Linked DNA regions of Arabidopsis thaliana. The protein of the gene in region 2 interacts with the protein of the main gene of each other region in a pairwise test. Each region holds a gene or a part of one and is shown on either strand. Other genes may lie near its edges. The genes, in order: AUX1, AT5G03345, EMB2759 and AT3G06170.

Evidence for each region.
Region 1: the proteins of AT5G03345 (region 2) and AUX1 interact in a protein complementation assay, tested with the Arabidopsis thaliana proteins (one large-scale study listed by BioGRID).
Region 3: the proteins of AT5G03345 (region 2) and EMB2759 interact in a protein complementation assay, tested with the Arabidopsis thaliana proteins (one large-scale study listed by BioGRID).
Region 4: the proteins of AT5G03345 (region 2) and AT3G06170 interact in a protein complementation assay, tested with the Arabidopsis thaliana proteins (one large-scale study listed by BioGRID).

The regions. Positions count from the first base shown.
Region 1 is NC_003071.7:15,970,224-15,979,238, reverse strand, and holds AUX1 (Transmembrane amino acid transporter family protein), read right to left. Parts: upstream 6,364-9,015; 5' UTR 5,975-6,363; intron 5,764-5,974; 5' UTR 5,747-5,763; coding exon 5,570-5,746; intron 5,477-5,569; coding exon 5,291-5,476; intron 5,203-5,290; coding exon 5,090-5,202; intron 4,994-5,089; coding exon 4,810-4,993; intron 4,532-4,809; coding exon 4,434-4,531; intron 3,913-4,433; coding exon 3,705-3,912; intron 3,619-3,704; coding exon 3,361-3,618; intron 3,273-3,360; coding exon of another isoform or gene 3,267-3,272; exon of another isoform or gene 2,681-3,266; coding exon 2,447-2,680; 3' UTR 2,059-2,446; downstream 1-2,058. Other genes in the region: ATMAK3 (Acyl-CoA N-acyltransferases (NAT) superfamily protein), read left to right, coding at 385-600. UniProt on the Arabidopsis thaliana protein: Carrier protein involved in proton-driven auxin influx.
Region 2 is NC_003076.8:811,610-817,761, forward strand, and holds AT5G03345 (membrane magnesium transporter-like protein), read left to right. Parts: upstream 1-2,475; 5' UTR 2,476-2,586; coding exon 2,587-2,663; intron 2,664-2,760; coding exon of another isoform or gene 2,761-2,764; coding exon 2,765-2,813; intron 2,814-2,914; coding exon 2,915-3,106; 3' UTR 3,107-3,698; intron 3,699-3,781; coding exon of another isoform or gene 3,782-3,869; 3' UTR 3,870-4,010; downstream 4,011-6,152. Other genes in the region: AtCDC48C (ATPase, AAA-type, CDC48 protein), read right to left, coding at 1-599, 699-927, 1,187-1,349, 1,496-1,524; AT5G03350 (Legume lectin family protein), read right to left, coding at 4,195-5,019. UniProt on the Arabidopsis thaliana protein: Mediates Mg(2+) transport.
Region 3 is NC_003076.8:25,288,997-25,296,268, forward strand, and holds EMB2759 (embryo defective 2759), read left to right. Parts: upstream 1-3,407; 5' UTR 3,408-3,648; coding exon of another isoform or gene 3,649-3,657; intron 3,658-4,069; 5' UTR 4,070-4,112; coding exon 4,113-4,139; intron 4,140-4,306; coding exon 4,307-4,440; intron 4,441-4,454; exon of another isoform or gene 4,455-4,698; intron 4,699-4,723; coding exon 4,724-5,185; intron 5,186-5,388; coding exon 5,389-5,803; 3' UTR 5,804-5,999; downstream 6,000-7,272. Other genes in the region: AT5G63040 (uncharacterized protein), read left to right, coding at 38-107, 202-600, 696-1,030, 1,118-1,330; AT5G63060 (Sec14p-like phosphatidylinositol transfer family protein), read right to left, coding at 6,086-6,163, 6,283-6,405, 6,505-6,657, 6,745-6,891, 7,070-7,222.
Region 4 is NC_003074.8:1,864,645-1,871,803, reverse strand, and holds AT3G06170 (Serinc-domain containing serine and sphingolipid biosynthesis protein), read right to left. Parts: upstream 4,390-7,159; 5' UTR 4,285-4,389; coding exon 4,107-4,284; intron 3,660-4,106; coding exon 3,423-3,659; intron 3,124-3,422; coding exon 3,012-3,123; intron 2,889-3,011; coding exon 2,476-2,888; intron 2,356-2,475; coding exon 2,066-2,355; 3' UTR 1,841-2,065; downstream 1-1,840. Other genes in the region: AT3G06180 (Ribosomal protein L34e superfamily protein), read right to left, coding at 1-99; AT3G06160 (AP2/B3-like transcriptional factor family protein), read right to left, coding at 4,612-4,872, 4,972-5,066, 5,145-5,667, 6,057-6,139, 6,230-6,300, 6,373-6,433.

The DNA.
Region 1 (9,015 bases), on a different chromosome or scaffold from region 2:
CCTAAGAGTTGGAACTTTTCGATATTCGTTTAGTTACTAATTTTGTAGTGGAAATCAAAATCCCAGTCTCTCACTTAGTATACATATGTTGTATAAGTCTTGTATGTAGTCCATGACTCTTTATAGTCACACGCATTGGAATGTAACTGATAGTAATATAAAATAAGAAATCCCTGTCTCCCACTTACTAATTGCGTATTCGACGAATCATTTTCTGTTGTATGTGTGATCTCTTAACTGTAATCTCAGTAGTAAATAGATTGGAAAAAGAACCTCGTGATTGGCATTTGCTCTTCAAGTTCCTCATAATCAAGCCTGATTACAACATGAGAGTATGGTTGTCTGGTTATGCAATCTAATTAATGTAAAGATGTATGGCTGAAGGTAACTCTGGAGGCAGAAGTGAGTAACAAAGGAGCATTAGCACTATATGGGCGACTCGGGTTTATAAGAGCCAAACGGCTATACCACTATTACTTGAATGGGATGGATGCTTTTCGCCTGAAGCTCTTGTTCCCTAAGCCTCGTGTACCTCAAATACCTTCTCAAGTTCAAACCCAACAAGAGTATGAGACCTTTCCTAGGCCTCGTGTACCTTAAGGCCATGAACGAAGATGTGTGTTTCTTCAATGTATTCTAAATCCTGAACATGCTAAGACTATGTTCTCTTTCGTATGAAGAAATATTATGTGTTGGTACAATTCTAGTCCCATGTTTATGAAGTATTCTCGACTGGAGTAAGCGATTAATCTGGACGTTTCAACGGTCTTGTGTGTCTACAGAAACAATTTAGCATATTCATATCACTTTGTGGTGTGCGTATATACGTTTTTAAGGTCTCTCAAACTTGGTTGATGATTGGAAACAAAGATCTAAATGTTGTTACAAATTCATATAACCACTTAACTTAACCTAATCGTCTCAGGCTACTCCTGACTTCGAGTTAAGTGGATGATATAGAAATCGAGATGTGAAGTGATTTTCAGCCATCAAAATTTTCAAACAGCTCTATATACCTCAAAAGAAATCCAAGATGACAAAAAATTGATTTAAGGCCAAAGGAGAGAAAGATGCCAGTCAAATGTTATGAAAAGACATGCTTGAATAATTGGTATGAGATATTTTATGAAATACTTTTATTGCATACCGTATTTTACTATAAAACAATTTTCTTTTCACAAACACAACCATCTTAGATTTATCCATGTTAGCCGAGATTTTTTTTGTATCCAGATAGTCCACTTTACAAAAAAAAAAAAGTCTAATATAAAGAAGAAGAAAAGCCTCAAATGTAGTTGCAAAACTCACATGGCCTAAATCAGAACAAATTAAAGACGATTCACCACTCGCCACATAATAGTTTATTGACAATTTGAACCCACTCGTTACCAAGGGTCACTAACCAAACGTTACCAAGGGTCCTACTCCATATCGCATAATATGACTCACATTCACTTCTTCTTTTCTCTTTAACGATTTTATGCTATTAGAAGAAACATTTTTGCAAAGTTCTTTTTTATTTTGACCCCCAACAAAAAAAAAGTCAGATGGAAAGTACAAGAATCGGACTCTGGATTCAAACGAGAATATTAGTTAATAATTTTACATATATAGTTATAATCTTTGGGGGCAAAGTACATGTGAAAGCAGAGCATATGATAAGGGGTAAACGATTGAGTACGAATGGAACGAACACATGCCATATTTAATATGAGGGACAGGAACGGTCCTCTGATCCATTCTTTTGATCAGAGAGAAGATGAAGAGTGTCAAGTAAATAATGGCACGTGACTCGGACGAAGTATCCACGTGCGTCCTCTCCCCACACCCATGTGGCCCATAGGATATATGACCGGCTCCGTCGGTCCAACTTGTCCATGTTCCCCTATTTAATTTTTAAACACACCCTGCCGTTAAATCAAATTTTCCAAATAAATTAAAGTGTTATTTCAAAATTTTAATGTAAACTTAGTAGTATTGTCGCTGTGCTATGATCAAAACTGTATAATTAAAAGATCTAATAGGATCCTAAAGAATTATCTAGTATCGGAAGATATTGTTCATGGTAAAATAGTTTATATAAGTCTAATTAGGATAAATGTATAAGATAAGAATTGTTTTTTGTTACTAAAGACAAGTAAAAGGAGAGAAGACGATACATTTTCTTAGCCTATTGTTTTAACAATACCAAATTAAGAAATCACACACTACATATTATCGACTATTCAATTTTAAAAAAAAAACTAAGGAGTGAAAACAAAAATACAAAACCCCAAAAGAGAAAAAAATAATTAAGAGCTTAGCACGCATTTAAAGGGGTGTGTAAAAAGTACACTATTTTCGTGACTTTTACTCCCTTCACGTATACGAACACAAAACACAAAAGAAGAACAAATAATTTTAAGAACCCTCCACAAACGCATTAGAAGAACCCTGACTCGATCTCTCAAAGACGGTGGTGTAAAGCGGAGACCGGGGCATGTGCGGCGGCTGCAGCTGGTTTACATTGGTAACACTTGGCAAAGAGACCAAAAGTGTCGACTTGACGAACAAAGTTGGTTACACTAGCCCATCCACCGAACCCAAATCCGACTATAAGAACCCAAACCACCACGAAAGCATTCAACACGTACATCGCCGTCCAGCTCGGCATAAAGAACGGTGGCTTCTCCGCCGCATTCTACAAGAAAGATCCAAAACACAAAAATAATCAGAGAACCATTAAAGAAATAGAGAGTGTGTAAGTGTTTTAGAGTTTTGGTCGTATAGTAATGGACAAAATCCAAAGCTTTGTTGACCCATGAGATAGAGAGAGAGAGAGAGAGATATGATTGTGATTTGTCATACTCAGACTCTCACTTTAGATTAATGTTAGGCATAGAGTCCCTATTGTACAGCTCCTTTTCATTTCTGATTATGACTCTTACCTATTCCTCTCCCCTATTTTCCTCTACTTTTATCTTACGTAAATTTAATATACACTGTTTTGAAAGAGAGAAAGAAAAAGAAGTCATGGTCAATTACTAATACTAACCTAACCGGATATTGTATTTTTTCTTCTAAATGTAACCAAATAAAGAAATGGCTGAAACCAACTCAATAATATATTATTTGGAGGGGACGCCAGTAAGGAATGTGGGTGATGATCCTATCTTCCGTAAGATACGGAACACTGAACCCCATCTATCTTCCACAAAAGACGTTTTTGCCCTCCAATTTCACAACCCTACCCCCCAACTATAATATTCCTCCACCGACTCTTCATTTCATTTCTAAAAAATTATTGGTAACTCAATGTATTTTAGGTTAAGTTCGAGTTTTGAAACGCTAAAAGAGAGTGAGCTAGTAAAGATGTTATACCTGACGAGCGGAGGCAGATCGGTAAGTGAGCATGTGAGCGAGAGATGGGATGATATAGACGGTGAAGCTAACAAGAAGAGCACCGACAGCGGAATTGATTGGACCGAAAAAGGGGAAGATAATAGCTAAGAACCAAATAGGTATGACCACAGGCAATCTAGCCAAAGCCCTTAAGCAAATGCTCTTTGTGTCATGCATCCCAATCACTTTCTCCCACACAAAGTACAAAGGTGTACAAGCGAACCCGAACGTTATAAACTGCACGAACAAGAACACGTTGCATTAATCTCTCATGATCAAAATTTACTTAAAAAAGAAAGAACAAAAATGTTGTATGTGTATACCTGATGAATGAGCATGAGGATAACAGCGGCGTCACGCCACGCGTTCTTGGGCATAAGAGAGAAAGCGTTGGAGTGGTCGAGAAGTGCGTCTCCGAAAGCCCAGTAAACGGCGGCAGCTGACGGAATCGTTAGCGTGAACACGTATAACGTCGCCATCAAGTAAATGTACTTAAACTTCTGTGGTTTCCACATAGCATGCATAATCTCACTGCAAATTAGAAATTACTGTTAATATTCATAATTTCATCCAAAACTTTAACTATGTAAAAGATTGGATTCACAACAATCATTGACGCATAAAAAGGGTGTATTTGACATTTCGCAAAAGCGTACTATTCCTACTAGTAGTAGTAGTGCTTTGGTAGCAATAGTGTTTGTTATTCTTTATAGGGATAGGAATAATAATGGTTATTCTATTTTATATTTAAAAAGAGCTTATTTTATTAGTACTACTATTTTAAGGATTGCTAAAAATAATAATGACAATCATGATGACTGTAATAATAGTTACACCTTATTTGCCGGCAAAAGCTGCAATAGAAGCGGCGAAGAAACGATACAGCAGCACCCATAATTTAATAATATGGCACCATTTTAATTTACCATATACTTTTTCTGCCATTTAGCTTTAACTTAAATAGTAATTCAACTATGTCTGACAAAATTTATTGATCTTTTATTAGATACAAAATTAATAATCATTAAGAAATCAAAAGAAGAGTAACTTACACAGTAACCGCGTGACCTCCAAAGGTGTACAAAATATTTGTGGCTCCCGTAAAATAAAGCACTAGCTTTGTTGGACCTGAATGTTTCACACCTTCCGCCTAAAATAAACAACAAAAAAAAAATTTGATTAGGAGAATATTAAACAGCTAATTTTGTCTAAGTTATATTATACATACACTTTTTAATACAAATTTGGGTTAAGATGCAAAGAATAATCCCTGATCTTAAAGAGAAAATACGAATTTTTTTTATTCTTCTTTTTAATTAAGGCATATACTGTCACCTCAATGCAAAGCATATAAATATGAAAACGACAGTGTAGTGATCTTTATAATGTGATGAAATATATTTTTGGTGAAATATATTAAAACATTACCTGGCCGTGGATGATGGAGGCAATGGCTAAGTACCAAGCGGTGTAAGTGGTCATTCCAAGGCCAAGGAATGACCAAATTCGGTAATTGTGAAACGACGGTATAAAGACAGTGGTTGCACAACACGCGCCAAATATGTAAGTCCATGTTCTCTTGTCCAGATGATCGTTTATGTAATAAATGTTACTGCAAGTAAACACCAATCATATTTCAATTATCCTCCATTCTTAATCATTAAAGAGTGATTAAAAAGATAAAGAGAATGATTAAAAGATAACAGACCTGGCACAAGCAATGAGTTGGATAACAGATCCAAACAAGAGGAAAGTGCAATTAAATGCGAGTCCTAGTGCTTTCCAGTATGAACCAAGTAATCCATCAAGTACTTCAAACCACTGTTGAGATTTTTAAAAGTGTTAGATTAGTGAAAGATAATTATGATTTAGTGATTCTGATTAGAGAGAGAGGGTTTAAAGAGGGGACCTGAATGACGTGGTTTTTGAAGCTTTTGCCTTCTTTTTCTTTACGAGCTCTGTATTCGACGTAGAGAACAGAGATGAGATAAGCAGTCCAGCTTCCTAGTAAACCATAGAAGATCTGAAGTACTATTCCTGATAACATTCCTAGTTGACTAAACGAGTACGGTAATGTCAATAACACTTGAGCCACCTGAAACCAACGATAATTACTACAAATCAGATCTTTCTTCACTATGAGAAATCCGAAATTTTGAATCTTTAGTTTATGGTTTTATTGGTTTACTTGGTTAGATGCGCAGCTGAACCAAGCGTCCCAGACAGAGCCACCGTGCCATAGGAAATTGCTTAGGTTAGAACCGGTGGAGCCGTCGTGTTCTTCGTTATCTTTCCCGGTACGGTTTCCGTTTACCTGATCTGTTCCGTTGTCATTTGCTACTATCGCTTCTACTCCTTCCGACATTTTTTTAGCTTCTAGATCTGAGAAATAAAACAGAGCGAAAGAATCGATTGTGTTTAGTAACTAAGTGAAAACAGAGAGGAGAAAACAGAGCACATAAGAGACTGAGAGAGATCTCAATCTTGGAGAATTCAAGAAGATAAAACAGAGAGGGAAAGAGAATTGACAGTTCTTTGTTCACGTTTTTTCTCTTCTTCAGTGTGAAAAAAGAGAGTAGAGAGAGTGACTTACGTTTTCTTCTATTAGAGAAGAGAAAGAATCAGAAGCAAGAAAGACCCAAGAGTGGTTTTTGTCCGTTTGAGCTGTCACTTGTTTCTTCTCTTTTCACTTTTGTTTAAGAAAATCTCAACTCTGTACTGTTTCTTCTGTGTCTTAAAAGAAACAGAGCATAAGAAGAGAAGAACCCAGAAATGTGCAGAGGAGGAAAGAGAGAGAGAAGGGAAGGAGAAGACTTTGATCAGAGCAAAAGAAGGAATGAAGCTAAAAATACTATAAGATGCTTCGGGCTTCACCCCCTACTCCTCCTTTTTATATACCAATCTCTCTTTTTCATTTTTTCTTACTTCTCTTTGGTTTTTTTATGTAATTTTAAAAATATTAAACAGGTGCTGTAAAATCACACCATTAACTTTTGTTTAGGTAACGGTAGCATCTTACTTTTTTTTACGTTTTCGCATTGAATATTAATGTGACTATTTGACATCCAGAATTTCCGGCTTCTTCTACTATCCAATAATAAATTAAAACATAACGCCACATGGGTTCAAAATACATAAAATCGTATTTTACTATATTTCATCTACTAAAAAGCATTAGTTGTGTGACGAAAACGTATCATTTAATTCGAAATATTTAAGATATGATGACAAACAAATAATGCAACGTATTAATGTTTGACGATTTATTGACTTGTTATAGGATATAAATTAAGAGCATACTCAATGGTGGTTTCTAACCATAGTTTCTAATCTACTAAAATAATAATAAAATAAGAAATAATATTATTTAATTTGAAAAGTTTCTAAAAATAGTTAGAAGAGTCTTCAAAATCTCTTGAATTAGAAACTCTCTCACATTTCCTTATAAACTATCTTAATTAAATAATATTATTTATTATTTTATTATTATTATTATAGGTTAGAAACTTTGCTTAGAATCCACTACTGGATTTGCTCCAACATATCTAGATTTAGATATCTTCACTTTTGTTTTTTTTCAACAGCTATCTAAATTTAATACCGTACCTAAAACTAGGATGGACAGATCAATAATCTGCATGTTTTTAGAGTTTAAGGAAAACGTAATCATCCTTTGGTTTGGTTATATGATCAACCACTAAATACAAGTTTTTCACATCATTCTTATTCTAGATTACTAGCTGGAATAATCTATTCTATGGTCTAAAGTTCAAATTTTTCAATTTTTTATCCTACAAAAATTAAAGAGCAGACAAATTTAAGACACCTGATCGTCGACCGAAGGCTCATGTTTTCAGTGATCATGAGTTTGCAAAATACTCATTAGTCATTAGCATTTGCCCATCAAAGAAATAATTGGGTACTACTATACGGCATATACCAAATACTACATGATACTAAGAAATGATTGGATACTACGCCATACTCTCTCTTATACGCATATTAACACATATAGTTGGAGTATTATCATGATGAAACTAGAATTTTCCATGTTAATTATCTGACGGCTAACATAAATCATTTAGAAATAGTTGAACAGTTTAATAATTTTATGTTTGAATGATCTATAACCTATTTTCTAATTATTTCAAGTTAAAATATCTCTTTCGTTTAAATTAGTAAGATAAAAAAATATTGGCAGTAAATATAAATCATTGAATTCATATGAAATCTCAATCCTTAGATGAAATAGTAATGTAAAATAGTATTTTCTACAATGCCATTCCTGGATACATGTTAATTATTCATACTTTCTCCTAAGGTCAAAGGTAGGTAGGCATTAATATATATTGGTCTAATATGAGTCTTACTATTTTTGATACTATAAGTTATAAAATTTTGTTAATAAATTGGATATATATAGTATCATGTTCATTTTTCACTTTGCTGTTTTAAAAATATTATATTGATGTGCACTGTACGAATTCTCACGTAGTGTGAATATTAGTGTGACAACCTTTGTTTCCAAGTTTTGTAAGTAACTTGCTTGCTCAGCTGCTAAACCTCTCAGTGTTCTCACTAGTCATTTTCTCTAATTATATGGCTCGACAATACTTAAATGTTGGATACGTTATCGTAAACTTCCAGCTAAGAAACGGTTTAATTATACGTAGACAAATTGACTATTTCTTGAAACTTTAGAATATAAACAAGTCTACTGATCCATGAAATTTAATCAACTTGCAGAATATTCTAAACAAATATCGTATACTATAAGATACATAGAGCCTATGTATCTAGTGTGTGTATTTATGTAAAGGCGGCAATGTTGCAGGTCTTCTTTAATTTGGTGCAGAAACTGCAGATTTTACCCAACGAGTTGCTTGCTTTTGCTTCTGTTTCACGCAATATTATATAAATTTTAGTTTGCAGTTAATGAAAATAAATTATACAAAACTTGAATTTACAAGCAACTCAAACTTCAGTTGTATATTAGAGCGTCTTCTGTCTTCAAGACTCCAACCCACCTCTAACAATAGGAACATATTTTTCATAGGCATTCAATTATCAACTCCTAAATTCAATAACGAATGGTTAAATATGAAATATCATTGTCTATCACTTCCCCAAATATGTTCATCCCTCCATTTTAGAGTTTTTTTTTTTCATTTGTTTTAATCACATACTTAGCTAAAATTATAAAATAATTGTTTCAAATAATGATTAAAAAATATGTAACTGATCATTAATGTCGATTTTGAAAATAACTCTTCGGAGATGACCTGTTTTTTATGGAGGACACTATAGTTTTTTTTTCTCCATCTTTAAACAATTAGGTTTCTAGCTATCTACATTCAGCATAAAAGTTAGGCGTATGCTATACATCACAACGTTTTTCAGAAATCGACTTAGTTTCTGATATAAAAAAAACACTTCGAAATGATTTGACGGTAGTTTGATCATCACTTGGAAACCAAATTGCATTTCTACTAGACCTAGAAAAATAATCAATACTAATACTTAATAACTAATACTCGGTTTTTAAAGGAGATGGCAATTGTTATAATCGGTTATTAATTTTTTGGTCAAAGATAAACGGTTATATAATGTTTGAAACACCTGTGTGTGTTTTTA
Region 2 (6,152 bases):
TGATTTTAGTCCATCCATAAGCGTAAGGAGCTGAGAGACAATCCTCCTCTCAACCTCACCATTCGTCTTCTCTCTTTTTGGTGCAATAGAGTCAATCTCATCAATGAATATGATAGACGGGGCATTCTTCTCAGCCTCCTCAAATGCTTTCCTGAGGTTGCTCTCACTCTCACCAGCTAGTTTCGACATGATTTCCGGTCCATTGATACAGAAGAAGAATGCTCCGGTTTCATTAGCCACAGCACGAGCAATAAGAGTCTTCCCGGATCCAGGAGGTCCGTAAAGCAGAATTCCCTTTGGTGGCTTCACACCAATTGATTTAAAGAGTTGTGGATGCCTCAAGGGAAGTTCAACCAATTCCCTAATCTGAGCCATCTGTTTCCTGACACCACCAACATCGTCATAACCAACCTCATCAAGCCTTTCTTCGTCCTCCCTCTTAACTGGTTCACCCTCACAGAAAATCTCTGTATCTGGAGCCACCACACAGTACTCAGCAGGATCAGTCTCGATCACTTTGAACTCCACACTCCTCATTCCTCCTCTCACTAGGAAAAGATCTCCCTTCCTCACTGGACGGTACGCCTCCAGAAAGTAAGCTGGTGAAAAAAACAATATAAGTTTAGAAAACACGAACTCCAAAAGACAAGCTAGACTATGATATGAAAGAGAGAATCAAAAGATTAAAGCAAACTTACGTTTCAGGTAAGCATCAAAGAGGTTTCCAGTAACGCCTTCAACTGTATCATCAACAGGCAAGATGTGAACACGCTTTCCATACTTGACATCTGGGCATTGGTGAACAGAAATAACATCTCCCAGCCTAACCCTCAAGTTAGACCTTACAACCTTATTCATTCTGATCTTGGGTTCCTCACATGTTTCATCAGCGAGGGCAATGCATACAGTGTCCTTCCTCTTCTTACCCTGAAAATCCAAAACCCCAATCAAGTAAGTAATCACAGAGATAAAAAGAACAATCCAAACCAATTCTAAACTCAAAAAAAAAAACTTCAGACAAAAAAGTTGTACCCTAACTGAATATGTTTACAAGATCAGACAAAGTAAAAAACATAACTGAATATGTTTACAACATGCTCGTGATATACAGTCAAGACACAGACGATCCAAACCAAGTCTAAACTCAAAACACCCTAACATAGTGACATAAGGAACAAAACCTAACCTTGATGAGAATTGTATCGCCTCGGAAAAGCTGGAGTTTTTCCATGGTAGTAGGATGGAGAGAGACAACAGAGTTGTCATCGTTAATAGCTTCATCGACAACAAGTCGGTTTGGAGACTTCTTCCTCTCTAGAATCGCAGTACTGAAATCCTTCTTAGTTTTCCTGAAACAAATACCCCAGGAAGACAAACAAAATCAGCTTTCAGATGAGATCAAACTAAAAAACCCTATTCTCAATATCGAAAAACCCAAGTAAAAAAATCGAAACTTTATGATCGGAAAACAAAAATCAAAGATCTAAGTACTTACGAGTCGGAGGATTCCGGTTCGTTTGACATAATGATAGCTTAAACTGACAAGAGAGCTCTAAGAAGGAAGTTGGGAAATTTGTTTCTAGAGAGATCGATTGGTGATGATGATGATGATGATGAATGGGATCTCAAGGGAGCTGAACTCGGGATTTTATACGCTCTGTGATTTCCTTCTTGTTGGAAAAATAAGCGACCCTTAACTTTTAAGTTTATCTTGAAAAGTTCCAAAAACTAGGTGTTGTGATAAATACACCCATGTTCCCTTAACATCATATCAATTAATTTATATTATTATATGATTTATCGAGAATCAAAACAAAAATCTACCTATATGAAGAATTAAAAAATTTGATGTAATTTTAAACTTATTTTAATAGTGTGGCGAGGGTACGTAAATGTTTATTAAAAACGTTATGGGGGAAAGTTGAAAATAAAAGTAAAAGAGAGGTGAGGATAACAGTTTTACTTTCTGGTTTTAGCAAACACAAGAAAGGAATAGAAGGTTCTTAGGTAGCGGTACCAAAGCAAGCTACATGTTTTTCTTACTTTTTTATAAATAGAAATTTAATATCTTACCATTTGATTTCTTTGTTCTAAAATAGATTTCCGTTTTTTTTATACGAAGTTATCAACATACGATTCAATTCAATAATTGCAGAAATTTTTGTTTGCATATGAATATATCATCAATATGAAATTCTAAATAAATATTCATAATTATTTATTATACGAAAAAATAATTATTTTCCCAAAAGATAAACCCTTATTGTTGTAAAAAAGTTATCAAACTAACTGAACTTTCATCTAATTAAAAATATTAGTTACTTAAAAAAAAGTTTGGGTTACAAAAGATTAATAGGAATCTAGGATATCATCAATCTAGAACTACGCGCCGTTGTTAGTCTCTTCGATATTAGACGTTGCGCCGTTTTCACTTTGAGATTTGCGATATTATAACTACATGCCGTTTTAAACTCCACTGATCGTCTTCTATTCTAGTTCGATTCTCGACGGAGAATACTCGACGAGAAAATCCAGATCGGGAATCAACTTAGAGAAGAAGAAAATTAAAAAAGAGAACTTCTAAAGATGAATTTGGGGTTCTTAGTTGGAGTTTTCGGCGTTCTTATTCTTTCTCATGCCGCTTATTCAACAATCCAATGTATGTCTACTCTTCCCAATCCAATTCCAGTTCCAATTGAGTCAGATCTACTTTAATTTTCGAGATAGGATCTTGATTTGGGTTTCTCTTGTTTATTTCAGATAGAGGATTGTTGAAGATTATGGAGGAAGAGTTTTCTCGACCACCGATTAATGTGAGTATATAATGATAACGGTTTCTCTTTTCCTCAATTGTGTTTGAATTATATCAGCAATGATTATGCTTTTATATGAATCATGATTGGATTTATTTAAGGTTATTCTGGAGTTGATCATTGGACTAGCTCTGTGTATGTGGGCTGCTTTGACTTTCCCTGGTAAATTTCTCTCGATCCATCCGGATTCTGATGAAAACAGGTTTGTGATCATGTTTCTCTCGAACTCTCTGTTTTGCATCAGTGTTAATCAATCTGAATTCATGTTATCTAGTGAGTGTTTTTACTATTGAATTTTTCTCTGTTCGTACTTTGTTGAACTTGGTGTAGAGTTACTACGGGTCTTATAGAAGCATCTTCTGGCTAGATTTGGTTCAATTATTCAGTTTAATCATGGGTGTTTCTAGTGAATATGTTTTCTTTTGACTGAGAAGGTTTACGGATGTGTTGTTAATCAATTGATTCAAAGAACTTGTGCTCTAGAGATGTTTCGAGGGTCTAGTTTTGATGTCTCTTTAACTCTCTGTTGTGCATCAGTGTTTATCAATCTGAAACATGGAAATTTGGTAGTTATTATATTTCCCGATGATTGAATGACCACCAAAGACTCATGTTTATTGATAAGAAACTGTCGTCTAGAGATGTTCTAGGTCAAACATTGATGTTTCTTTAATACTTTGTGCAGCTAAGGTTTTCTAAAATGCAGGACATTCAAAGGGACATTTTCTAGTTTATATTTGGTCCAGTTACGATTATGGGTTTCAAGAGCTTTAACCAGTTCTGCTCCTGGCTAATTCAATCAGTTTATATTTGTTTCATTGGCTCTTTAGACCCACTTTGGTTCCTTCTATGTCGCAGCCTCTCCCCTACCTTTTTGTACATTAGGTTCTTGAATTGGTTTTGAGTTTGGCTTTTGCTAGATAAAGTGAATATCTCCTGTTAACTGGTTTCTTTCAAAAAATTTGCAGGGCGGTGTTTTTACCAGATAATTCGGATTTCATGATATTCAATCACCGTGGCAGACTGTTCCCACCGCAGATCGACATGAAGTTTTGAATTTTTATCACACTGCTTAGTCAAACACTGATCTGTGTAATGTTATGAGATGTTTCCATTGAAATTCTACTCTAAGTAACTACTCTGCTTTGCATCAATTTTTGATTCTTGAAACGAGTCTTGTGATGTTTCTGTGTGTCAGGTCTCTACTTAGAATCTTTTAGAATGAAGAATCAACATAACAACAAGTGCACAGGTCCTAGCAGGATAGGATACTGTGTAAATAGTCAAATACAAACAATTAAAACAACAAAATTTGCTATTTTATTCATTCCGGTTACAACTTTCTGATACATTAGAAAAAGCATAACCGAACAGAACCGGTTTAGATTCTCTTGGCACTGTTCTGGAAGGTCCAACTCCAAATGTCATGACGTTCAACGCCACGGCCCATGGCACCAGAAAAACCGGGGTACATATTTTGAAGAAAAACCTTAGAGAGATCTAAATGGGCAACGATCAAAGGCTTCTTAGGTTTCTTAACGGTTTCTGGCGCGAGAGTAACTGTAACCTTGGAGTTTCTATACTCAATCCAAGCCTTGTACCTCTCTCCATTACTCAGCTTGAACTCTTTAAACGACCAGTGTTTCATTTTCCCAATTCCTGTCTGAACCCAATAACCAGCTTTCTCAGCAACAACGGAAGTAACAGAGTTGATATTAATCCCGACATGGTTATCATTAATGTCTCCAAAACCTTTGTCCTGAAAAACGTCGAATTCGACAGCAAAGATGTGGTTTTTGGGGTTGCCATTGTTGGTTTTGTTGAATATCCCGAGGTATCCAGCGGGTCCAGGACCGTCACTTTCAATGGAAGGGACGACAACAAAAGCAAGGCCGTGACCAGGGGCGGGTTTGATGCGAGTAGAGATGGAGAAAGTGAAAGAAGTTTCAAATGGATAAGGAGAAGAAGAGTTTGAAGAAGGCTTGAAAGGGACTGGAGTGGACCAAAGACTTTGGCCGTGAGAGAATGGGTTCTCGTCTCGTGTCATGGAGAGAGCTCCGGAGCGGCTGACGCCATCAGAAGCAGGACCGAGCTCAGCGTCTCCAAGGAAGACCAACTCTGAGGTTTTGAGGTTGAGGTTGAGGTTGACGGCGGAAGTGGTGTGAGCTAAGAGCAGAGCAAGAAAACAGAGTTTATGAATCTTCATTGCGTTTTCGTAACTGCTGTTTACTCAAGTGAGAGTTTGAAAGAGTGAAATTATTAACGTGGTGATTTATAAAGAGTAAAACATAAGCCCATGTACATGACGTCATATTGTATGATGTCAAGTAAACGCATCACCTACAAGATTTCCTTATCCTTTCCATAAATTGAACTCGACCAATAAAAAACGTGATTGTTAATAATGGAAAGAAAAAAAAATTAAAACAAAATCATCGAATGGTCACATCAGCACATGACATTTTGTCAAGTAAACGCGTGAAGACACTGTTGTGAATACACTCATTCAGCAGAGTATGTGTACAGTGTACGCATATCTCGTATATTAGATTGTACTTGTCTTTTGCGATGTGAAAGCATAGTATACGGTATCATTATGTGGATGAATGAATAGAAAACACTACGTCAAAAGGATAAGGAAAATCTAGTGGGTTCTTTAATTCTTTACCCACCACATAGACAACACTACGTCGTATAGAAATTTACTTAGAGAGTATTGAAGAGGAACATAGACAACCTTGTGTTTCTTCGGTGTAATTGGTCTAGAAAAGGACCAATGCAATGCAAAGATCGATTGCTGTTTATTTTTCTACGAGAGATATTTTCAAAGAAAATTCACTCAGGAAAAAGTAATTTGCTTTGCATCCCAAATTCTCATCAGTTTATCACACATATGAAATGTTCAACAATCTTACCATTGATTTCTTAGTAAATCGATCTCTGATTTTTCGTTTGAACGATTTTTAAATAGTAATCGTAATATTGTAGTTTAACCCAAAAATACTTGCACAATTGGTTAAAAAGTTCAAATTTTTTAGAGAGATCAAAGGTTCATATTTTCTCAACAAATAAATATTGTGAACTTACAATAAAAAATAGAAAATGGAGGGTTCTTTTGCAAAAAGGAGCAAAAACGGATTGAGCAGTGTAGTTGAGGCTTTAAATATGGCCCATGAGTCGTTGTGGCCCACAACTTAATATAGAAAAAGGTGCAAGTTGCATAGGCCAACGCCAATGTAACCCTCATTAACTTCATTATTAGTCTAAGAAAAACTCTTAGGCACGATCCGCAAGCTACGGACAGCTTGAGATTGTCTTGTCACACTTTATTTTTTTAAT
Region 3 (7,272 bases), about 24 Mb from region 2:
TGGATATTTGCTGATATTTGTCGTCTCCAAACTTCAGTTTCGTTCACCGAGGGTTCAGCCTGCTCATCTCCATTGTTACCATTCTCTGCACCTTAAAACTGATAAAAGTAAGTTCCTTTCTTACTCTTAATTGTTATCCTTTGGGGGTATGAGTGACTTGTGAGTAAGTTTTCTGACTGTATTTGCATTCGTTATGAACAGTTGGCTCTCTTCACATTTCCTCAAGAGGCCAAAAACCAAGCGAAGTCTCCCGAAAGAGAACTTATTTGCCTCTTGCTACTTCAGAAGAAAAGTTCCACTACACTGAAGATACAACAAATGATCCAGACACAGTAAGTCCCCAAATTGGCACCGAAGCTACACCTAGAGATGATGATTCAACTATCCAATACAATAGAAATGACGGGAAACCGGGTTTCATTTCGTTTTACAATCCTCGGAATAAAACTGAGGATATCATTATCCCCCCTGAAACTCAAAGTCCATGGGGACGCCTGCTCTGGCTCATTGGTCCTGCAGTCTTAGTCTCCTCTTTCATTTTACCTCCAGTTTACTTACGAAGAATAGTCTCAGCAGTTTTTGAAGATTCTTTGCTCACAGGTTCGTCTTGCTTCTCCCTTTTCCGATTTACTCGTCACGTTTTCTTCGAAAATTGCAGAGACAAAGTCATTGTATCTTTCTTCCTCTATTTGCAGACTTCCTCATCCTGTTCTTCACCGAGGCTCTCTTCTACTGCGGAGTCGCTGCATTTCTTCTGATAATAGACCGCTCAAGAAAAGGATCCGGAAAAGTTCCCCAGAACCGAATCAATCCTTCTCAGTTAGGACAAAGAATCTCCTCTGTAGCAACATTAGTGCTGAGTCTCATGATTCCAATGGTGACAATGGGATTCGTCTGGCCATGGACTGGACCTGCAGCATCAGCTACTCTTGCACCATACCTCGTTGGTATCGTTGTTCAGTTTGCATTCGAACAGTACGCAAGATATCGTAACTCTCCATCATCTCCTATCATCCCCATCATCTTTCAGGTATGTGATCACTCTTCTTCAATCAACACCTCTCAAAAGATATTTCACTTTAACACACTTTTGAAGGAACCTTTTTGGGTTTTGTAGGTATACAGACTTCATCAGCTGAACCGAGCGGCGCAACTAGTAACAGCATTGTCATTTACGGTTAAAGGAGCAGAGGCAACAGTTAATAATCTGGCAATCAAGAAATCACTGGGCACACTTTTGAATGTGATACAGGTTTTGGGTGTGATTTCAATCTGGTCTATATCTAGCTTCCTCATGTGGTTATCATCACCTTCCCAAAACCAGTCTTGATGTATGAAAACATCTTTCTTATTATTATTACAGAGAAGAGAATAACACAGATCTGTCTCGAGTTCTTAACTGTAAAATCCTTTACCTTTTTAAAGATTTTACTTAGGGATCCAGTTATTCTGAAACTTAAAAGATTCAAGTGGAGATCTGATTCCAGTTACAAAATTTGAGGTACTTTGTGACGCCTCAATTTACCCAACACATTTGGAAATTGGAATTATTGGGTAACTGAAAAGTTGTCAAAAGCTAATCTATTTGTGGTAATTGGATTTTCTTCCTAAAAATAGTATGTACATATCACTTTTGGTCGAATGTCTCCTTGTCTAAAAAAAGGTCCATAATGTTCTGTTCAAATTCATGTCTTTTTACGTGGCTGCATAAACTTCATCTAAGTCCCAACATTTTAACTACCTCAAACTGTCAACGTCTTGGAATAATCAAGTCCCCAAATATTGTCTATATCAATCAAATATCATAAAACTTCTCCACAAGGCACCAGGAATGTAATTATATTTAACACAAAAAGATATCGATATTAATAAAAAAAACTTTATACAACCCTTTATTTGAAATCAATTGGTAAACCAAAGTACAACAATAAACATGCCTAAAAGTCTAAAACAATTAAAAAAAATTCAAAACAATTTGTTAAGTAGAAAATTCAAAATTGTATGCCAAGGTAAAAAATCGATTTCAATATTACTGAAGAGATATTGAAATAGCGATCTTTTACATACCGAAGGGTCAAACATGATAAAGGCACTCAAAGATTAATATGTGCAAAAGATGGCCGCTCTGCCTACCAAAACGACATGACATGCGGATGGAAGATTTTTGCACCATCATACGTAAGTGTATACACTACTGTGTAAATTTCTCATATCGAATATACCATCTCATATAAAAAGCTTCCTATCTTGACTAAGAAATACAATAAAACTGTAACGACTATTGGAATGAAACCTCAATAAAACACCAAAAATAAACAGCTGCAAATCTAAATATTAGAAAGATTGTAACATTTTTAGAACAAGATCCAGATCTATTCTCTAACTGACCAATCAACTATCACCAACGTGTAAACAAGCTAACACATAAGTTTATGGAGTTAGAGAATATCTTCTACCACTTAAAAAGAAAAAGAACGAAAAACATGGAAGAGAAATATCGAATAAGGAGGAGACAGACAAAGGAGGCTTCTAAAGATAATGAAGGTATATGCAAAAGAGGTTTGGTTTATATAGAGAGAGGCTTGGAAATTAGGTCAATGGTGTTTATTAGTCGGTCGATGGAAATAGGCAGAAATTGGAAATAATATAAAAAGGCAATTTTCTAAGAAAAGAAGGAAATCTGTTTGGTCAGCGGGCAGCTACCCGGTGAATTAAACAATTCAGCAACTTGTCTGAAACAGGCAGCCTCGAGACTCCCACATGATCTTCCCGGTTCAATTTGGTTTACAAGTCTAATTGTATTTTAGATTTCGGTTTGGTTTGATTTTTCTTCTTTTTCTTTCTCAAGGGCCCATTTAGCATGATTTCTCGCAAGTCTACTATTGGATTAACCGATTAAGCATTAGGCCGAAGCCTAGGATCAAAATTCAGGGTATAAAGATCCATATATCGCTTGACTAAGTTGATAAACATCCGACCACAACCCCTTTTAAGTCCAATGAAATCAAGTTGTTAGTTAATTCATTGTGAAACTAGAGATTCAAGTTTTGGTTCCTTCAAAGATATTCGATATAAAAGAGAGGACTTCAAGTTTTGAGAACGTAATTACATGTTTCACGTCGTGGTTTTCAAAAAAATGATTATAAGAAATGTTATTTTCGTGTTGATTGTATGATTTGAAGAAACAAAACATCATGTAAATCTAAATGTAAAGAGCTTTTTTATCTTGAAAAAAGTTGATAAAAAAGTTGTGAAAGTTCTATTCAAATGATTTTTTTTTTTGTTAAGACTATGTTCTTCAACTCGTTATTTGACTATTTAAAATAGAAAATCAATTGTGATTTAATAAAAAAAAAAACTTAATAGTAATTTCTCCGAAACGACGACGTTTAGAGGTGTTGGTATTAAAAAACCTTTGATTAACCGCTTGCCTGCAATCTGCTCTCCTATCTCTTCCAATCTCCTCTCCTCTCTATCTATCCGCGTCCCCATTTCTTCTTCCCTCTAAAATTCCAATCTTTCTTATTGCTTTTTTTTATTCAAAGCTTCAAGATTTTCACTAGGGTTCTTTCCCTTTCTCTTATTCGATAAATTCTGTTCTTTTCTTTCGTATTCTCACGGACGAACAAACCCCAAGGCAACGAGCTCATGATTGAGGTCCGTTCTTCTGCTCTTTCCCTCTCAGTTTCTTCGCAGCTGTTTTCTAATTTGCAATCTATTTTATGGATTTGGGGTACTTTTGTTAAGGGAACAAAACCTATCATTTTCCAGGTTTCTTATGGTTGCGCTTTAGATTTTATAGTTTAGTGTAATTTAATCTGATTTGGGGAATTGGGTGTTGGATAAGAGTGTTTTGCAGCTGAGAGGATTGAAAAATTGAATATTTATGATATTTAAGCTCGCTAATGAGGTTCTCTTACTTCGGATTTTGCTCAGCTTCGCTCCTGTCAAGTAATTTTTGTTGTGATCTATATATGAAATTTCCTTTTAATGTTTTATGGTCGCTACTTGTGATTTCATCATCTTTGGAGGTTACAATCATCTTATTCAATCCTTTCTTCGGCCTCAGATTGTGGCTTTTGAGTAAATGATTCACTGCTCAGCTAGAGACAATGGTGTTGGTAACCCATAAATTGCAGGTATCTTAGACATAGATCTGTAAAGTCCTAAATTCTACTTTGTTTTGTGTCTCTGTAATGGTCATGTCTGCAAATGGTTGTACCTTCCGTTTCACTCTTGTAAAGCCTTCTTTTACTTGCCACACTAGAAATATAGATGTTTACCTCCCCCTTGTTCTCTCATGTAGGGTTCACATGTCTTGTCTCCTTGGAGTTCGCCAACATGGACCAGAGGCTTGTGTTTAAAGAGACCTGTTACGACAGTGCACTTTGTTGAGAGGAAAGATAAGCATTTACGATTGAAGCAAAAATGTTGTTTTAGGTGAGTATCCCACTTTACAAATCCCTGCTTAGGTTATGTACTACTTAGTTTGAGACTCATTACTCTCTCTGTACGACTGTACTCTAGGAAGGTAGATACGTAGTTATATTGTGGATTAAAATGTGCCTCTTAATACGCTGAGACCTATCTGTTAGCTAAGAGATTCCTTGTTAGATACTGAGACGTATGAACATATAGGAAACTATACTAAAAAGTTATAGTTCATATATTCCCTTTGCAATTGATTCTCGGAATCATAATATGTTGTGAAACTCTTTTGCAGTTTAGGGTCCCCTTGCAACGGTGGATTGAGAGCAAAACCTTTCAGAGTTACATCTTTTAAAGGTGGCATCCAAAATAATGAATCAGGAGGAAGTGAGGGTGGGAAGAAAGTTACTAATAACTCTGTCAAACTATCTTACCGTTCAGATGATGACGAAAATAATGTGAATGGCTCCCCAAAGGCACAGAACACTTCGTTTTCATATACCTCGGAAACAGAGGATTCCATGACAGGGCAACCCGCTATTCAGAAACTATTCAAGAAATGGTTGACATTGTTGCGCACACAGTCACCTATTCAAGTGATTGACGAGACTTTAGGAGGAGAACAGGTTCCACAAACGACGAAGCAAGAAACTGAAACAGAAATTCGGAAAGCAGAAAGTCTCCAGAGTACCAAAAATACAGTTTGGTCCTGGTTTTGGAGTCTAGACGCAGCTATCAAGATTCCGTTGCTGTTATTGTAAGTATCAGCATCAAAGCATCTTTTTCTTTTGCTTGATGAGGTAGTCTAGAGTTAGTTATCAATAGAGGAAAATCGACTAGATGTGAACTTATATTCAAAAACTGTCCTTAGGAAGATTTAAGAGTGTCACAGCCACTTTTTTCTTTTCCAAGTTCCTTGTATGTGTATTGACTATACTTTCACCTTGACCTTTTTTGTAGTGTTCCAGCTTTCCTAGCTGTTTACGCGATCTGTGGTGCTGAAGTTACAAAGGAATTATCCCCTATGTGGGTGGTTGGCCCCTTGATCATCGCCCTTTATATAAAAATGTTCCAAGGACTATGTTCCCTTTACGCCTTCTGCTTCAACCAAACCATCAAAATGATAAGAAACCTACCATCGTATTATCTTGTAGCATACCAATACATTGCCGATGGAAAGCTCAAAGACGACGTTAAAGCTCTAGTGTTTAAACCAGTGGTGGCCATCAAGAACACAGACTACAAAGAGCTCACACGCACGAAGCTGAAACAGTTCCAAGAATGGATCATTGAGAAATACCTGGATTTTGTTGAATCTGTATGGCCTTATTACTGCAGAACTATCAGATTCCTGAAGAGGGCTAACCTGATTTGAAGATCTTCAACATGGAACCCTCAAATTCTGACTTCTCAGGGCTTCTCTATGATTTCTCTCTGTGCTTTGTTTACCTTTTTTTTTTTTTTTCTTAATTTTAGGAAGGCTTTTCATGTTGTTTGTTCTTATCTCTATGTATACTGATACCTTTTTTGAGGTTTTACAATGAGTTCTTTTAATATTAAGGGTTATCCCTTTTCTCCATACTTAAAAATTATCTATACACATATAAATCGACAACAACAGAAGAAATAAGTGCTTAAAGGTCTCTTATAAACCTCTTTAGCTCCGGAAATTTGATGGTAATGTTTCTTCAGTAAAGTACTCCTTTCTGACGGTCTCTGCTGAGCAAAACTTGACCTTCACATAAAGCAAAGTATAAAAATCCATCTAGTCCAGTCCTCTGAATAACCACACTATGTAGTATATAGCAATTAGAATCGATGCATAAAAACATAGCAATATGGTATGGAAGTTACCAGAGAAGCGTATTGCTTCACCAACGGTTTAGTGAATTGCCAAATTGGCTGAAATATGAATGGAGCATCTACAAAAAGGACTTCATCCAATCGGCTTGGATAGTAATAGTAAAATACGTCAAACTGCAGAAACAAAACAATGGAAAAGACAACAATAAGATCAAAGACCATTCACCTGTAAGAAGATACAAAAACCATTCACCTGTAAGGAGAAAGAAATACCAGGAAAGTCAAGAACTTAAGATCTGCGTTCTGAGATCCGAATCCACGGAGATCAAATATCCCAAGTATCTTGTGTTGTCCTGCTGGTAACTTACTTAAAGCCTTTTCAAGTAAGAACACACAAAGCTTTTCATCTTCTATTGGATCAAGCAGCTGCAAAACGTCAGACATTTCACAAATCCTCAGCTATAGTAAATCTGCATTGCTGAAATTTAACAAGAAAACTGGTGTCTAACTTGCCCCGGGGATGTGCTTTGCAGGAGCTACAATAACCACTGGCCGACCTTTAACATCTAGAAAACCATGTACATAGGCTTTTCCAGTGTCAGTAGCTGCTTTAATAGAATCTTCAGAAAGCTCATCTACCTTGAACTCATGACGCCATTTCTAAGCTTTTAAGTAAAGGATAACATGGAAACCAAACCTTATCAATATTACCAAAACAAAAAACAACATGTGATTTGATTCTACAGGTTCTACATAAAAGTGAAGTCTCTGGCAACTTTCTAGATTCATTATAGTGAAGAATTGATAGAAGATAAAGAAAACACAAGGAAGAGGATACAATAGCTTTAGTTAGCTTTCCAATGGCTTCATCAACAGAAAATCTGCGATCTTTCAAAAACCAGAGGATCATATCCTCATCATCTCTTCCATATTTGCCAAGTGGGAGACTAGTACAATCTTTCGCAAGCCGTTCTTTTACTTCCAAAACTAGCTGCACCACATGTTCACAAACCCAAACTTTCATTACACAATCCCCTCAGA
Region 4 (7,159 bases), on a different chromosome or scaffold from region 2:
GGAGCTGTGATTGGAGGCGGATCTAGAGGCGGAGGAGGAAGGGGGCATGCTATTGGTGGTGGAATGTTCTTCGTCGGAGAGAAGAAGGAGATGGAGCATGTTAGGAGGACGACGACGGTGATGCCTCCTTTACATATACTTATTATGTCTTTATATGTATCTATACATTATTTATTTGCTCATTAACCATTTCTCAGGGAAAGCTAAATAAAATAACTGTAATTTGGGAGACAGATTTCTCATAACTGAAAATATATAAATAAATATACTGAAATAAAATGATCACTTAGATTTAAAGTTAATTTTAAATTTATACATATTTATTTTTGATTTTTTTAAAAAAAATCTTGCATGCTAGGATAAGAGATTGTTGAAATAGACTAGTTTTGTTTGAAACCATAGAAAATAGTTAATAAGTGCATGAATAATATTAAAGTTTATGTACAATCTATGGTGTATATTTATATCAACATTTTGTTGTTCTAGGATATAAAAATCTAATTACATTTATGTATGATAACTTCTTGTTTAATTATAAGAAAATGATTTACTTTCTTTCTATAGTATTTTTATAAAATTAAAATCTAGAGTACATTATGAAAGAGTAAATACATAATACTAAGAATTCTGTCAAATACAAATGACCAAAATAATTAAGTACTTCTATAGCATGATTGAGTTATCATAAATCTGTTCTGGTCAGAAGCTGAACTAAAAAATAAAACGGTAGAAAAATGTCTAGAGTTAGTAGCTAAAGTCTACCAAAGACCAAAGAAGATCGTTTTCATTAAAGTTATAAATTATGTCCTATGTTAGAGGCTTAGAGGTAAACGATGTTGTTGTTTTAATCTGAAATATAGATGCTAATCAGCATTCCACATGGTTAACAACATTACATAGAAGAGTTCGTCCATCTTCTCACTTGAAATTATGGAGAATACAATAAGTCAATAACTATATACACACGGACGAAAATTAACTATAATGGATTTCAATTAATTTTCAGATTTGCTATTGGTGTACTTTAATGCCGATAGTTTCTACTTATATTCATCTAAGTTTTCAGCAAATCATACGTATGTCATATGTCTTTGGTTTCACTAGCCGTTTAATAAGTCATGTCATGTCTTTATTGATTGGCTTGCTTTCAAATTTTCAAGACTGACAAATGAGGTTTCTTTTACAGTCCAAAAAACAAACAAAGAGGTTATAAGCTTTATAAAGTTGGTCTATATCACATGATGATTGATACGCTCTTCTTATGTGGTAATGCGAAGATGGTCAAATATGTGTAATTGTTCTACGTTTTTTTTATCCATACGAAATAGTTGTTTAAAGATATTTAAATGGTTTGTTATCAGTATTTTCTTAAACAATGTAAATTTGTGTCCGTATCATAGTGGGGACTGGGGACAACAACATTTTACATACTAATCATTGTCATATGATTGTACAATTTGTCGATAGAGAGATATAGGAAAATTTAAGAGTACATTAGAATTGGAACCTTTTGTGTGTATAAAGCATTGGTCATAAGTAAAAGGATATGAATAATTGCTATAAGCCATACAATTAAAGAATTAAGAAAAAAAACATGGTTTGTCGGATTAACATAAAAGATTTTGTCCTTGAGGATTATTCCAAGGAGAAGGCCCAAGGAAGAATCAACAATAGTATAACTAAAACTAATTCTAATAGCAATGATAACAAAAGGGAAAAGGCTGCTTAATGTCTAGTGGTTTTAGTTATTTTAATGATTGATTAGATCAAATTTAAACTATGATTGGATTCTTACTGAAATTTTCCTGTTGACTCTAATGATTCTTTGACTTCAAGTTGAGCATTTCTACCATAGTCCAAATTTAGTGGCCTACTATTTATCATAAAACAACACAATCATTCAAACAGCATCCAAGGTCTTTTAGTTGAGGTTTCTTCAATTACAAGTCTAGAACGCGACACAAACTACTACCATAATTATAACAAGACCATACCCACTATAAGTGACTACATAAACATATACATAACATTCAACGGACCGGACTATATACATGTTACCCTCTGTTTAGTAGAACTCGCGATCTGGAAGGATGAGTGGTGCAATGAGTGTCCATATGTAGAGTCCGGCCGTGACCCAACCCGTGCATATCTTGACCCAGACCGAGGTCCATCCCACATCGATCAGAGTCGCACTCTCTGATGAGTCAGTCCATCCCGAGAGAAGCATTGCAGCGTACATGCTCGCAAGCGCAAAGATGATATGGAAGAAGGAGTATGAGTAACTCACAGGCCGTGCCTCGGCTTCACCACTCTTCTTCCCGTCCTCAGGGTCCCCTAACAATGCATCCTTCACACCTGAAAAAAAACGTTTCCAGTAAAAAAGAAGAAACAGAAATCCGAGTCTGGTTCAGAATTATTATTCACAAAACCGAAAAAACCAATGCCCAGGCGTGTTGAAGAGGTTGGCTCAGGTACCTGATCTGGGTGAAGACGGTGGCGAGAGGAATGTGGTGGAAGAGCCAGCTCGGAGGGCGGAGTATAGAACCGAGAGAACCGTAGTGAGCATTCCAAGGATGAGAGTACTTGCGTTCACTGCCTTGGATTTGTTAAGGCCATTGCACACATAGTCATGTGGTTCGCTAGAGAGGCCCGTGTAACAGACATAAGCACAGTAAACCGATATAACTGATGCCGGTAAAAGACTGCCATTCACCGCAGGATGTAAAGCAATAATCGCAAAAACAAAAGCCAAGATCATCGGCATGACAATGAAGAAAACATTAAGTCCACAATCCTGACCAGATGGGTTGAACCAGATGAACAGGATTCCTGAGAAGGTATATGTAGCAATGTAACACACGATTGATATGACAAGCAGAGCGATGTACCTGCACAAAGAATCCCATTAGTCAGAAAATTATAATTTATCAAACTTCAACAAAAAAAAAAGGCCCAAAACAGAATATTGGAACAAACACAGGACAAATGTATAGAAGAGATGCTGATGATACCATTTCTTTTCGTCCTTTTCGACCCATGAATCATTCCAGTTATGTGTAGCATCTAATAATAAGACCACTTGAACCAACAGAAACGCTCCAGCACCAAATTTTGACAACGTTCCTAGAACAATGTGCAAGCACTAAGATTAGCCCGCATATATGGTTTAATATTAAAATCCACAACTTTAAAGTCTCAGTCTTTTAGCAGATATTCAAATTTCCTTGTCATACTTGCAGCTACACCAAAGTATAATATATAATCACACAAATTGCCAACCAGCCCGATTTAAGATCATCAACTAATACTTGATAAAATAACAGCAATGGAATTTTGCAAACCAGTGAATTTCCAATAACATAAACATAACGTGATATGGTAGCACTTTATGTTGGAAACTATGAGGAGCAAAAAAAACTTACCATATAACGAGACGATAACATTTGGAACAAAAAACATGAGGACAACAAGCAAAAACCAGACAATCATCTTCAAACCCCACCCACCATGGTGCCACGAGTCACGCCTGTCATTCTGGTCCTTGACACCAATCATGATCAAAGCATATATTGCAAAGAAGAGGAAATTCCCAAAGCTCACACGAAGAACAGCTTGTTGCTGATACCATTCTTTGGTATATGAATCAGAAGTATTGATCCCTGTTTGTCAAACAACATCCAAAACCGGAGATTTGTATCAATAGGCGATGAAGTTTCCTTTTGCAACACTCAAAATTCTCTCTTAGATCAAGCAGGTTAACACAAAGCATAAACAAACGCAATTGAAAGTTGAAAAACATCCAAATCAACACAGATTGAGATTTCTAAAGTTCTAGTACACAATTATCAATCTGTTGCAGCTACAAAGCAACCAAATTTCCACTGAACCAATACAAATTAAGATTCATACTTAAACGCTTAGTAAGATTCAAGCACAAGACATCACCCAAATCTATCGTTAACCACCGGATTCAATTCCAATTGACAAGATCAAAGAAAACCCAATTTCGAAATTTGATGGTCTCTTTCAATTCCAATCATCAATCTCGGCTAAAAGGAACCTCCTTTTTCACAAACCCAGTTCAGAAAAGGATGAGAGAATCGTACAAGGGAGTTTCTCGAGGAGCGGAGCACCAGTCTCACGAAGAATCCAGGAGACGACAAGAGAGGCACCGAAGAGACCACAATAAGCGATCCTCGCTGATTTCCTCGATATCCCCGATGCTACCGACGAGCATAATCCACAAGTCGCCGACGCACAGCACGAAGCTAAGCAACACGCCATTGTTTCAGAGATTTTTTTTTGTTTTGACTTTCACAATAATCTGTTCTTCTGTTGTGAAGAAGAGATATCACATTTTCGAGAAATTACGAAATCTGTACCTAACATATTAAAACGATCATTCTAACCCATTTTACATGATTGTAACTTGTAAGAGAAACAGAGTGATTAACGGGTAAGCTTAAGCCTGCTCCTCATTGTGTTTACTTCAAAGTCTACAAGAGAACTCAAAAGTCTTAAACATGTTTTGAAATTAGACATTCTAATAGTTTACTACAAAAGACTAGACTCGAAAGAGAAGAAACACAATTGCAGAACTGCATCAGAGAATCAAGTGCTTGCTGCTGCATCGCGGAAGATGTGAATCTTGATTGCATAAACCACTTTGTCCTCGTTGCGGAGAATTTCACATAGGATGGAGTCATTCTCTGTGAACTGGTTTCTCTCGCATATTTTCTGCCATTTGTTTATGCAAACCCGTTGATCTGCCCACTTGGTCGTTTTCGCGGTTAGTTTTCCATATCCGTCAATATAGTCAACATTGTCGCTGAATATCAAGCCGTAGTCTTTCACCAACTGTGCATGAACTAACTGTGCATAATGTATATAGAGCTTTAGTTAGAAAAATAATCATCAACTCGTGAAAGGATTTTTAATGAGACGAGATAATAATATCTAATGAAGTCTTACCAGCTCAAACTTTCTAAGCTTAAGACACGTCTCAAAACAGACATTGTTTGGATCATCCAAATACAGATGTGGATTCTCAATGGTCTTCCTCTTGTCTGCAAAATTCCCATTTGAGATCAAATTCTAAACAGCTTCGGTTATAAGCATCAGTTAAAAGAACAATGTTTACTTACAACTTCTCTGCCTGCTTGTTGTTGGATTCACCACCTCAACGGATTCAACAGATATAGAGGCTGAGGGTAGGTTCTCGGGAGAATACTCACTGTCGCTCTCTATCTCAGCATCACCATGAAGAGAATCGTTGCTAAGGCTTCGAAGAGAAACGTTGCTAGTGCTATGATGAGAATCGTTGCTAAGGCTATCAAGTGAAACATTGCTAGGGCTATGAAGAGAAACGTTGTCATCTTCTGTATCATCAGAGATCTCTTCAACTTGAATGACTGCTCGAGTCTCTTTGCAATCTCCACGACCATAGATACTTACTTCATAACTTTTGTGCCCATCAAACACAAAAGTTAAGAATTCTCCCTCTTTTAACTGGTTATCAGCAACGAAATTTCCCCAGCCTTGTTCAAAATACACTTGCTCTTGCTTGCTCGTCATTGCTACTTTCCAAAATCTTCCACCAGTTCCGATGAGAATCGCAGTCTTGGGCAACGGACGTGGTAAAAGATTGTAGTAAGACCTTGGTATCACCTGCTCAACACAAAGATGTAGCATAAACTAAACTGTTAAAAGTGAGCAAAATATAAGCTAAAGACTCTGTCTGCAAGCGGAGGTAAACAGACAAACAACAAGACCAAGACCTCTTGTTCAATTTTTTCAACAAAGGAGAAAACTCTTTGAGGAAATTCAGTGTTTAGTTTGACATACTCTATCATATTCAAACATAAGTAACACAAACAGAGATAATCCTGAGCTCATTAGTGAAGAAAGTTAAAACTTTTGTCAGTGTCAAGAGATTTAAACATATAGAGTTAAGAATTAAGATAATGTTGCAGATCTCATTCACATCGTTACTGTATCCAAGAAACATATCAACCCAAGCAGCTTTTTCCATGAAATATTCCAGAGAAAAATCTCACCATGGATTCGGAGCTGCAATGGGAGAGGAAGACAGTGAAGAATCTAGGAAGAACATCACCGGAAGCCATGGAAGACGTATGAACTGTGAGAGGAAGAGACAAAGAGAGCAGACGAGTTAGGGAGAAAGAAGAAAGCTACAGAAATTGGGAACAAAGAGAAGAGAGACCATTACCAAGAGGCAAGCTGATCTGGTCCAAACGGTTCTCTTTAATCTTTAGGAAGAAAATTTCCAGAGATTGAATTCTGAAAAAAGAGAAAAGTGAGAGAATACAAAGGAAGCAGAACACAGTTAATGTGTGTTTCTTACGTACGAACCTGTTTTTCTCTGTCCTTGCTCTATGCACAACCAATGAGAGAAAGCAGCATTGCTTTTTCACTTTATATTATGTTATCTTTTAATAAACTCTTTGACCAAATATCTGCAACAGATCAGGTGAGAAGAATCAGTGACAAAGATGCAGAGTTCATAATTGAGAAAGCGTTTTTCTCCTCACTGAAACAAAATCATAAAAAGCTAGATGCTAACAATACTATCAAGCCCATTAAATAGTTAATGTAGGCCCATATTCGGCCCAATAATTAAGATAGTAGGGAGTCTCATTATTGGCTGAAGAATGTAGAATGTACTCATGTAGCTCTTTTCTCTTGGGCCGAAGACTTTTGGTAGCTTTGGAGTTAAAAGTCACATGATTAAACACAGCCTCAACGGCCAACAACAACATATTCAAGATTAGAGCCATTAACGTATAAGCTCGTTTAGTGAGGAGATTCTGTAATAATTTACTCTTTTTCTTACTTTAATATTCTCTTGCGCTTTAAATTTTATCAGTTTGGTTTCTTAGAGAATTTTAAAACTGCGAAAAAGTATCATTTTTATGTATAAGCTAAATTCTATCTTGAGCAACAACAAAAAAAAAAGGAATTCTTGAATCAAAGTAAGAAGATTAATAAAATAGATGAACTATTTTTGTGAATAATGTGAATGGACACTTTGATTAAGCTAAAGTGGTATTGAAAATAGACAACTACTAATCTAAGAAGAAGAAAATTCTTATATTGTCTTATCAAAAATTGTTAGTTGTACTAAATCTCCAACGGTTTT